Linked DNA regions of Callithrix jacchus. The protein of the gene in region 1 interacts with the protein of each later gene in a biochemical or structural test. Links are inferred from orthologs where the notes say so. Each region holds a gene or a part of one and is shown in the gene's direction. Other genes may lie near its edges. The genes, in order: APEX1 and MUTYH.

Evidence for each region.
Region 2: the proteins of APEX1 (region 1) and MUTYH form a complex in vitro, tested with the Homo sapiens proteins (3 studies listed by BioGRID and IntAct, with this or other methods). The link is inferred for Callithrix jacchus from reciprocal best matches to the Homo sapiens genes APEX1 and MUTYH.

The regions. Positions count from the first base shown.
Region 1 is NC_133509.1:55,179,193-55,183,101, forward strand, and holds the start of APEX1 (DNA repair nuclease/redox regulator APEX1), read left to right. Parts: upstream 1-1,690; 5' UTR 1,691-1,767; exon of another isoform or gene 1,768-1,859; intron 1,860-2,040; 5' UTR 2,041-2,111; coding exon 2,112-2,169; intron 2,170-2,368; coding exon 2,369-2,556; intron 2,557-3,130; coding exon 3,131-3,323; intron 3,324-3,457; coding exon 3,458-3,909. Other genes in the region: OSGEP (tRNA N6-adenosine threonylcarbamoyltransferase), read right to left, coding at 1,042-1,156.
Region 2 is NC_133508.1:82,042,224-82,046,032, reverse strand, and holds part of MUTYH (adenine DNA glycosylase), read left to right. Parts: intron 1-694; coding exon 695-846; intron 847-933; coding exon 934-973; intron 974-1,086; coding exon 1,087-1,160; intron 1,161-1,297; coding exon 1,298-1,339; intron 1,340-1,421; coding exon 1,422-1,493; intron 1,494-1,567; coding exon 1,568-1,681; intron 1,682-1,766; coding exon 1,767-1,864; intron 1,865-1,944; coding exon 1,945-2,089; intron 2,090-2,168; coding exon 2,169-2,232; intron 2,233-2,405; coding exon 2,406-2,597; intron 2,598-2,694; coding exon 2,695-2,831; intron 2,832-2,916; coding exon 2,917-3,069; intron 3,070-3,809. UniProt on the Homo sapiens protein: Involved in oxidative DNA damage repair. Initiates repair of A*oxoG to C*G by removing the inappropriately paired adenine base from the DNA backbone. Possesses both adenine and 2-OH-A DNA glycosylase activities.

The DNA.
Region 1 (3,909 bases):
TGCACTCTTGTAATCCCAGCTACTTGGGAGGCTGAGGCAGGAGAATTGCTTGAATTCGGAAGCCGGAGGTTGTGGTGAGCCGAGAGCGCGCCATTGCACTCCAGCCTGGGCGACTCAGTGAGATTCCATCTCAAAATAAAATACAATTAAATTAAAATTAAAAATAAAAATAAAGACCAAATGTCCAGAACATATTTAATATGAATATTACAAAGCCAGCCAGTTCTGTCTGGCATGTAAGCTGGGAGTCTTTTCCACTCTTCTCTCTCCCCATCCTATTTTTTTTAAAGCATTTTTTTTTTTTAACAGGAGTGTATATTCGGGCCGGGCGCGGTGGCCTAAGCCTGTAATCCCAGCACTTTGGGAGGCCGAGACGGGTGGATCATGAGGTGAAGAGATCGAGACCATCTTGGTCAACATGGTGAAACCCCGTCTCTACCAAAAATACAAAAAAATTTAGCTGGGCATGGTGGCGTGTGCCTGTAATCCCAGCTACGTGGAAGGCTGAGGCAGGAGAATTGCTTGAACCCGGGAGCCGGAGGTTGCAGTGAGCCGAGATGGCGCCATTGCACTCCAGCCTGGGTAACAAGAGCGAAACTGCGTCTGAAAAAAAAAAAAAAAAAAAAAAAAAGGAGTGTATATTCAGGGCAACTGGAATCTATATTCCTACTAAGCATTTTTTAAACAGAATGTTTCGAATCCATCTCTATTACACTGTTTATCATGCTGAAGAATAAACATCTATTTATATATCTGATTCCACAACAAAATCATAACATCTATTTCTAAACGCTTAGCACATAAAATGCGCTCAATAAAAGGTAAACTAACTTCTCAGATCCACCTCCAAGTGCCTATACCTCTTCTAGCTATCAGCCCTGTGATGTCAATAAAGTCACATAATTTCCCTGAGACTCGGATCAAAAGCTGTAAGAACGGACAATGCACCCAAGGCCCCACTTAACTAGTATTTAGGAAGATGGAAGACTAATTCCGTGCGGGGAAGTGCGCGGAAAACTCTCAAGTCCCTTACTAACCCACCTGTGCCCGGAGGCGTGACATAAGTCCGCCGCGGGTTCGCCAGCACCTTGCCATCCCGCACCACTCCCACGCCAATCTTATTGGCGCTGCCTTCAAAACCGAGCACCGCCGGCATGGCGAAGCCGGGGAGAAAACGCCGACAGGACTCCTAGCAACCTAAGAAGTGGAGGTCCTTCCAAGTCCGCGCTGTGCCGCAGCTTTCCGGGGCACAGAAGAAGAAGGCGAGACTGCAGATAGCACTGCGAGAGACACCACAGAACTCCCGCGAGCGGAGACCCGTCAAGGCCCCTCCAGGGACCTGTCTTCCTAACTGCCAGGGACGCCGAGCCGCCTCTGTGCTTTACATTCCTATCAGTTTTTCTATCCCTTTCCTATGGTCCAGCCCAGCCTTCGCTATTGTTTTTTTCCCCTCTTGCACAGCATTAGGATCTTAAGCCACATTCAGAGAATGTGCCGTGCATCTGGCACAACAATAAACACCCCGAAGGAGGGTTGGGGCCTTAAGTCTCCTGGGGAGAAGGGAGGCTAGGCCAAGTGTCTCCATTACGTGGTACCAGACAGACCAATCACGCACATTCTTCTGCCACGTGACTGGAGTCTCGGATCACGTGACCAGATCCGCTACCCACGTGGGGGCACAGCGTGCACCGTTCTTTGTGCTCGGGTTAGGAGGAGCTGTGCTGCGTTCTGACCAGTGCAGGCAGATACGGGGTTACTCTTCTGCTCGTAAGAGGGGCTTCGCTGGCAGTCTGAACGGCAAGCTTGAGTCAGGATCCTTAATTAAGATCCTCAGCTGGAGGGCAGATCTCGCCAGTAGGGTAAAAGGCACTATGAAATGATCTTGTTAGTGGGTGAGGGGCTGAAGGGCATATGATGCACGGAGGCTGGGAAAGGATTGAGACATAACATGGTTTGAAAAGCGGGGACCTGGTGCGGGGACGCTTTAGGGGAGGAGTCTTCTCCCCAGGTTTAGCTGATTTCATTTATTTGCGTCTGTAGGCAACGCGGTAAAAATACTCCTTCGGTGGGCGACACGGTACAGGTGCCTCCGAAGGGCGTTCGTTACGGGAATGCCGAAGCGTGGGAAAAAGGGAGCGGTGGCAGAAGACGGGGAAGAGCTCAAGACGGGTAAGAGAATGAAATAAGCCCCTCTTCCTAGAAGCTGCGGCGGGAATTTCCTTGATAACGGTAACTACAGGCCGCTCATTTTTTAAGGGGTTTGTGAAGAAGTAGCGGTAACATCACACTTTTGTTGGGTTTATAGTTAACGCCGGATCGAGGTTGGAAACTACCAACTTTTTGTCACTATGTATTACTCATTTTATAGAGCCAGAGGCCAAGAAGAGTAAGACGGCCGCAAAGAAAAACGACAAAGAGGCAGCAGGAGAGGGCCCAGCCCTGTATGAGGACCCCCCAGATCAGAAAACCTCACCCAGTGGCAAACCTGCCACACTCAAGATCTGCTCTTGGAATGTGGATGGGCTTCGAGCCTGGATTAAGAAGAAAGGATTAGATGTAAGTGGAATTTAAGGAGGGGAAGAGAGTATTTTTTCCTTTTTTTAAATATCATTTTCTACTTTGGTAGAGATATTCTTTAGTATTGAATGATCTTAGGGGTTTAGTCACCCCTTTTTTCCGTTTAGCCTTCAGGCTGTTTTGTTTTTCTCCTGCCCAGGAGAGCTTTATGTGGGGCTTCCCCACATTTTGCCAGTCGTGTTTCTAAATGTCCGTTTCTTCACTTCCATTGCCATTTTCGTTTAATGTTCTCTCCTCTTCCCAGACTGTTGCAAAAACCTTTTTTCTATACTTCCTCCATTTTATCTTCAGCATGTCCTCCATTCCATTAACTATAGCTTAAAATCTTAGCTTGCCATCCACTGCCTATGGAAAAAACACAATCTCCTTAGTAGAGCGTGTAATACTTTATCTTCCTCTATTAGTTTTTATTTATATAGCTTATAATTGTTTAAATGTTGTACTACTTGAACTCATTAGGCCAAGGGACTGTTTAACCTGTGCATATCTATGACTTAGCACATATTCAGTAAATGTTCTGCTGAATTGATGTTTTCCACCTTTTCACTTATAGTGGGTAAAGGAAGAAGCCCCAGATATACTGTGCCTTCAAGAGACCAAATGTTCAGAGAACAAACTACCAGCTGAACTTCAAGAGCTGCCTGGACTCCCTCATCAATACTGGTCAGCTCCCTCCGATAAGGAAGGGTACAGTGGCGTGGGCCTACTTTCCCGCCAGTGCCCACTCAAAGTTTCTTATGGCATAGGTGAGACCCTGTTAATCCCTAATGCCTGAGCTCTTCAAAACCAATAGCTAATTCTCCATCTCTGCCCCACCTCTTGATTGCTTTCTCTTTTCTTGTGGTTTTTTTATGCTAATTCTGTTTCATCATTTCTGTAGGTGAGGAGGAGCATGATCAGGAAGGCCGGGTGATTGTGGCTGAATTTGACTCGTTTGTGCTGGTAACAGCGTATGTACCTAACGCAGGCCGGGGTCTGGTACGACTGGAGTACCGGCAGCGCTGGGATGAAGCCTTTCGCAAGTTCCTGAAGGGCTTGGCTTCCCGAAAGCCCCTTGTGCTGTGTGGAGACCTCAATGTAGCCCATGAAGAAATTGACCTTCGCAACCCCAAGGGAAACAAAAAGAATGCTGGCTTCACGCCACAAGAGCGCCAAGGCTTTGGGGAATTACTGCAGGCTGTGCCACTGGCTGACAGCTTTAGGCACCTATACCCCAACACAGCCTATGCCTATACCTTTTGGACTTACATGATGAATGCTCGATCCAAGAATGTTGGTTGGCGCCTTGATTATTTTTTGTTGTCCCACTCTCTGTTACCTGCATTGTGTGAC
Region 2 (3,809 bases), on another chromosome or scaffold:
GGGAGGCCAAAGTGGGTGGATCCCTTGAGCCCAGGAGTTTGAGACCAGCCTCAATAATATGGTGAAACCCCATCTCTATGCTTATGTGGTGGTGAGCATCATGTAGTCGCAGCTACTCTAGAGGCTGAGGTAGGCTGATTGCTTGACCCTGGAAGGCAGACGTTGTACTGAGTGGAGATAGTGCCACTGCACTCCAGCCTGGGCAACAGAGCCAGACTCTGTCTCAAAAAAAAGAAAAAGAGAGACTCACTAAGGGTATAATTCTGACTATATTGCTGTGTGACATTAGGATAATTGCTCTGAATGGCTGCTTTCTTACCAGTCAAATGGAGCAGTAGTTCAGCATTTCTTCCTTCATGTGGCTTTCATGGGACCAAATGAGTTTATGAGCCTGAAAATGTTTTGTAAATAAGAAAGCCCTGCACAGGTATAAATTATAGCTGGCTAAACTCTTAGGTTTTCATTACAGCTCAGAAACAAAGAAGCCAATAGTACCACCCTGAGAAAATTAAGGCCAGAAACTTAGCCACAGTTACATGCAATTACAGAACTCTGGTCTGACTCCAGCTCCAAAGCCTAAGGGGATTGGTTGGAGGAAGCCCTAAGTGGGAGCATACTGTCACAGGCTGCTGTGTCCCAAGACCCCGGTGCACAGCTTGTGCAGGGATGATTTCTGAGTGTCCTGGGGCTCCAGCAGGCCTGGCCAGACAGCTGGAAGAGGTGGTATTGCAGGCCTCTGTCTCCCCATACCATCTATTCAGAGACATAGCTGAAGTCACAGCCTTCCGAGGAAGTCTGCTAAGCTGGTATGACCAAAAGAAGCGGGACCTACCGTGGAGGCGACAGGTAGGCAGGCGAGGAACAGGGACAGTGGGTGGAGACAGGTATCCATCCCCCTCCACCCTAACTCCTCATCTGGGGTTACATTGACAGGCAGAAGATGAGGTGGACCTGGACAGGCGGGCATATGCTGGTCAGTACATCTCCTGAGAGCAGGGCACTTTGCATCAAGGACCTTGGGTCTGGAGGCTGTGGGCCAGGATAGGGCAGGTCAGCAGTGTCCTCATGCCAACTCCTTTCCCCCAGTGTGGGTCTCAGAGGTCATGCTGCAGCAGACCCAGGTTGCCACGGTGATCAACTACTATACCAGATGGATGCAGGTGACTCCAGGGGAGGAAGGGGAGGGTCATGGGTCAGACCCCAGATGAGAGCCTCTACTTTGGGGTAGGTGTAGAGAAGGCTTCCTCTACCACCCTCACCCTTGACCTTGTCTCTTTCTGCCTGCCTGTGGCTGTAGAAGTGGCCTACACTGCAGGATCTGGCCAGTGCTTCCCTGGAGGTGAGAGCTACCCAAGGGTAGAGGGAATAGGAACAATGGAGGGGCTGACAGTGATCTCTCTGACCTCTGATCCCACCCACAGGAGGTGAATCAGCTCTGGGCCGGCCTGGGCTACTATTCTCGAGGCCGGCGGCTGCAAGAGGGAGCTCGGAAGGTAAGGGGATGGCAGGAGGGTGGGAACCTAGGAGTCTTGGTATCTCATAAGCTTGAGTCTTGCACTCCAATCAGGTAGTAGAGAAGCTAGGGGGCCACATGCCACGTACAGCAGAGACCCTGCAGCAGCTCCTGCCTGGTGTGGGGCGCTACACAGCTGGGGCCATTGCCTCTATTGCCTTTGGCCAGGTAAGCCCACAGTCCACCCCCATTTTGTATATGCTCAGCCTCCTTCCTCCCAGCCCAGGCTGACTCTTTGGCTCCTCTTTGCCAGGCAACCAGTGTGGTAGATGGCAACGTAGCACGGGTGCTGTGCCGTGTCCGGGCCATTGGTGCTGATCCTAGCAGCAAACTTGTCTCCCAGCAGCTCTGGTAGGATGTCAGGGTGACAAGGGTGCTTCAGGGGTGTTTCCAAAGGAGCTTTGGCTCATAGCAGTGTTCCCTTCTTTTAGGAGTCTAGCCCAGCAGCTAGTGGACCCAGCCCGGCCAGGAGATTTCAACCAAGCAGCCATGGAGCTAGGGGCCACAGTGTGTACTCCGCAGCGCCCACTGTGCAGCCAGTGCCCTGTGCAGAGCCTGTGCCGGGCACGCCAGAGAGTAAGCCTAATTGGGAAGGGGCAGTGAGGAGTCCTAAGGAGTGACTCTGCCCCATGACACCCAACCCTGTGCCTCTCAGGTGAAGCAGGAACAGCCCTTAGCCTCACAGAGCCTGTTGGGCAGTCCTGACATAGAGGAGTGTGGTGAGCACCAAACCTAGCCCTCTCCCCAGCCCTTCCTGGCCCTGTCAGAAGCCTCATTCCAGTTCCTCCTCTAACCTTAGTAAGAGTCTGCAGAACCCGGCCAAAGCCTGCTCTCTAGGCTTGGCACCTGAGCTGTCTTGGCCTGAGTAGGGCTCAGGGATCTCCATTCCCAGCTCCCAGCACTGGACAGTGCCAGCTGTGCCTGCCACCCTCGGAGCCCTGGGACCAGACCCTGGGAGTGGTCAACTTCCCCAGAAAGGCCAGCCGTAAGCCCTCCAGGGAGGAGAGCTCTGCCACCTGTGTTCTGGAACAGCCCAGGGCCCTTGGGGGTGCCCGAATTCTGCTGGTGCAAAGGCCCAACTCAGGTAGCTGGATACTGTGCATGGAGGGCAGTGGCATGAGTAACAAGGGAGAATGGAAGGAATTGGCAGCTGACCCCTGCCTGCCTGCCCTCCCTCTCAGGTCTGCTGGCAGGACTGTGGGAGTTCCCGTCTGTGACCTGGGAGCCCTCAGAGCCGCTTCAGCGCAAGGCCCTGCTGCAGGAACTCCAGCGTTGGGCTGGGCCCCTCCCAGACACACACCTCCGGCACCTCGGGGAGGTAAGTGAGCAGCGGGAGGGCCAGCGATGTTGGCTTTTGAGGCTATATCCACAGGCCTATTTGAACCCCTTGGCCCTTCCTCCAGGTTGTCCATGTCTTCTCTCACATCAAGCTGACATATCAAGTATATGGTCTTGCCCTGGAAGGGCAGACCCCAGTGACCACTGCACCACCAGGCGCTCGCTGGCTGACCCGGGAGGAATTTCACACTGCAGCTGTCTCCACTGCCGTGAAAAAGGCATGACCTTTGTTGTCTTTGTTGTATTTCTTTGTGTTTCCTACATGTTCTATATGAACATATTACTGTGTAAACAGGGGAAAAAGCATGTTTGATTTTATTGTTTGAGATGGAGACTCACTCTGTTGCCCAGGCTGGAGTATAGTGGTGCGATCTTGGCTTACTGCAACCTTTGCCTACTAGGTTCAAGTGATTTTTGTGCTTCAACCTCCTGAGTAGCTGGGATTACAGGTGTGCACCACCATAACCATACCCAGCTGTTTTGTACTTTTTGTAGAGATGGGGGTTTTACCATGTTGGCCAGGCTGGTCTCAAACTCCTGGCCTCAAGTGATCCACCCACCTCATCCTCCCAAAGTGCTGGGATTACAGGCGTGAAGCACTGCACCCGGCCAAAAAAAAAAAAAACACGCTTTTTATTTTCTTTTTTTGAGACAGAGTCTCACTGTGTTGCCCAGGTTGGAGTGCGATGGCACAATATTGGCTCACTGCAACCTTGCCTCCCAGGTTCAAGTGATTCTCTTGCCTCAGCCTCCCAAGTAGCTGGGATTACAGGTATGTGCCATCATGCCTGGCTGATTTTTTGTTTTTTAACTTTTATTTTTATTCTTTGCTGGGGGAGACGGAGTCTCTCTCTGTCACCAAGTCTGGAGTACAGTGGTGTGATCTCAGGTTGCTACAAACCCTGATTCCCAAGTTCAAATGATTCTCCTGCCTCAAAGCGTGCACCACTCTAGGGTC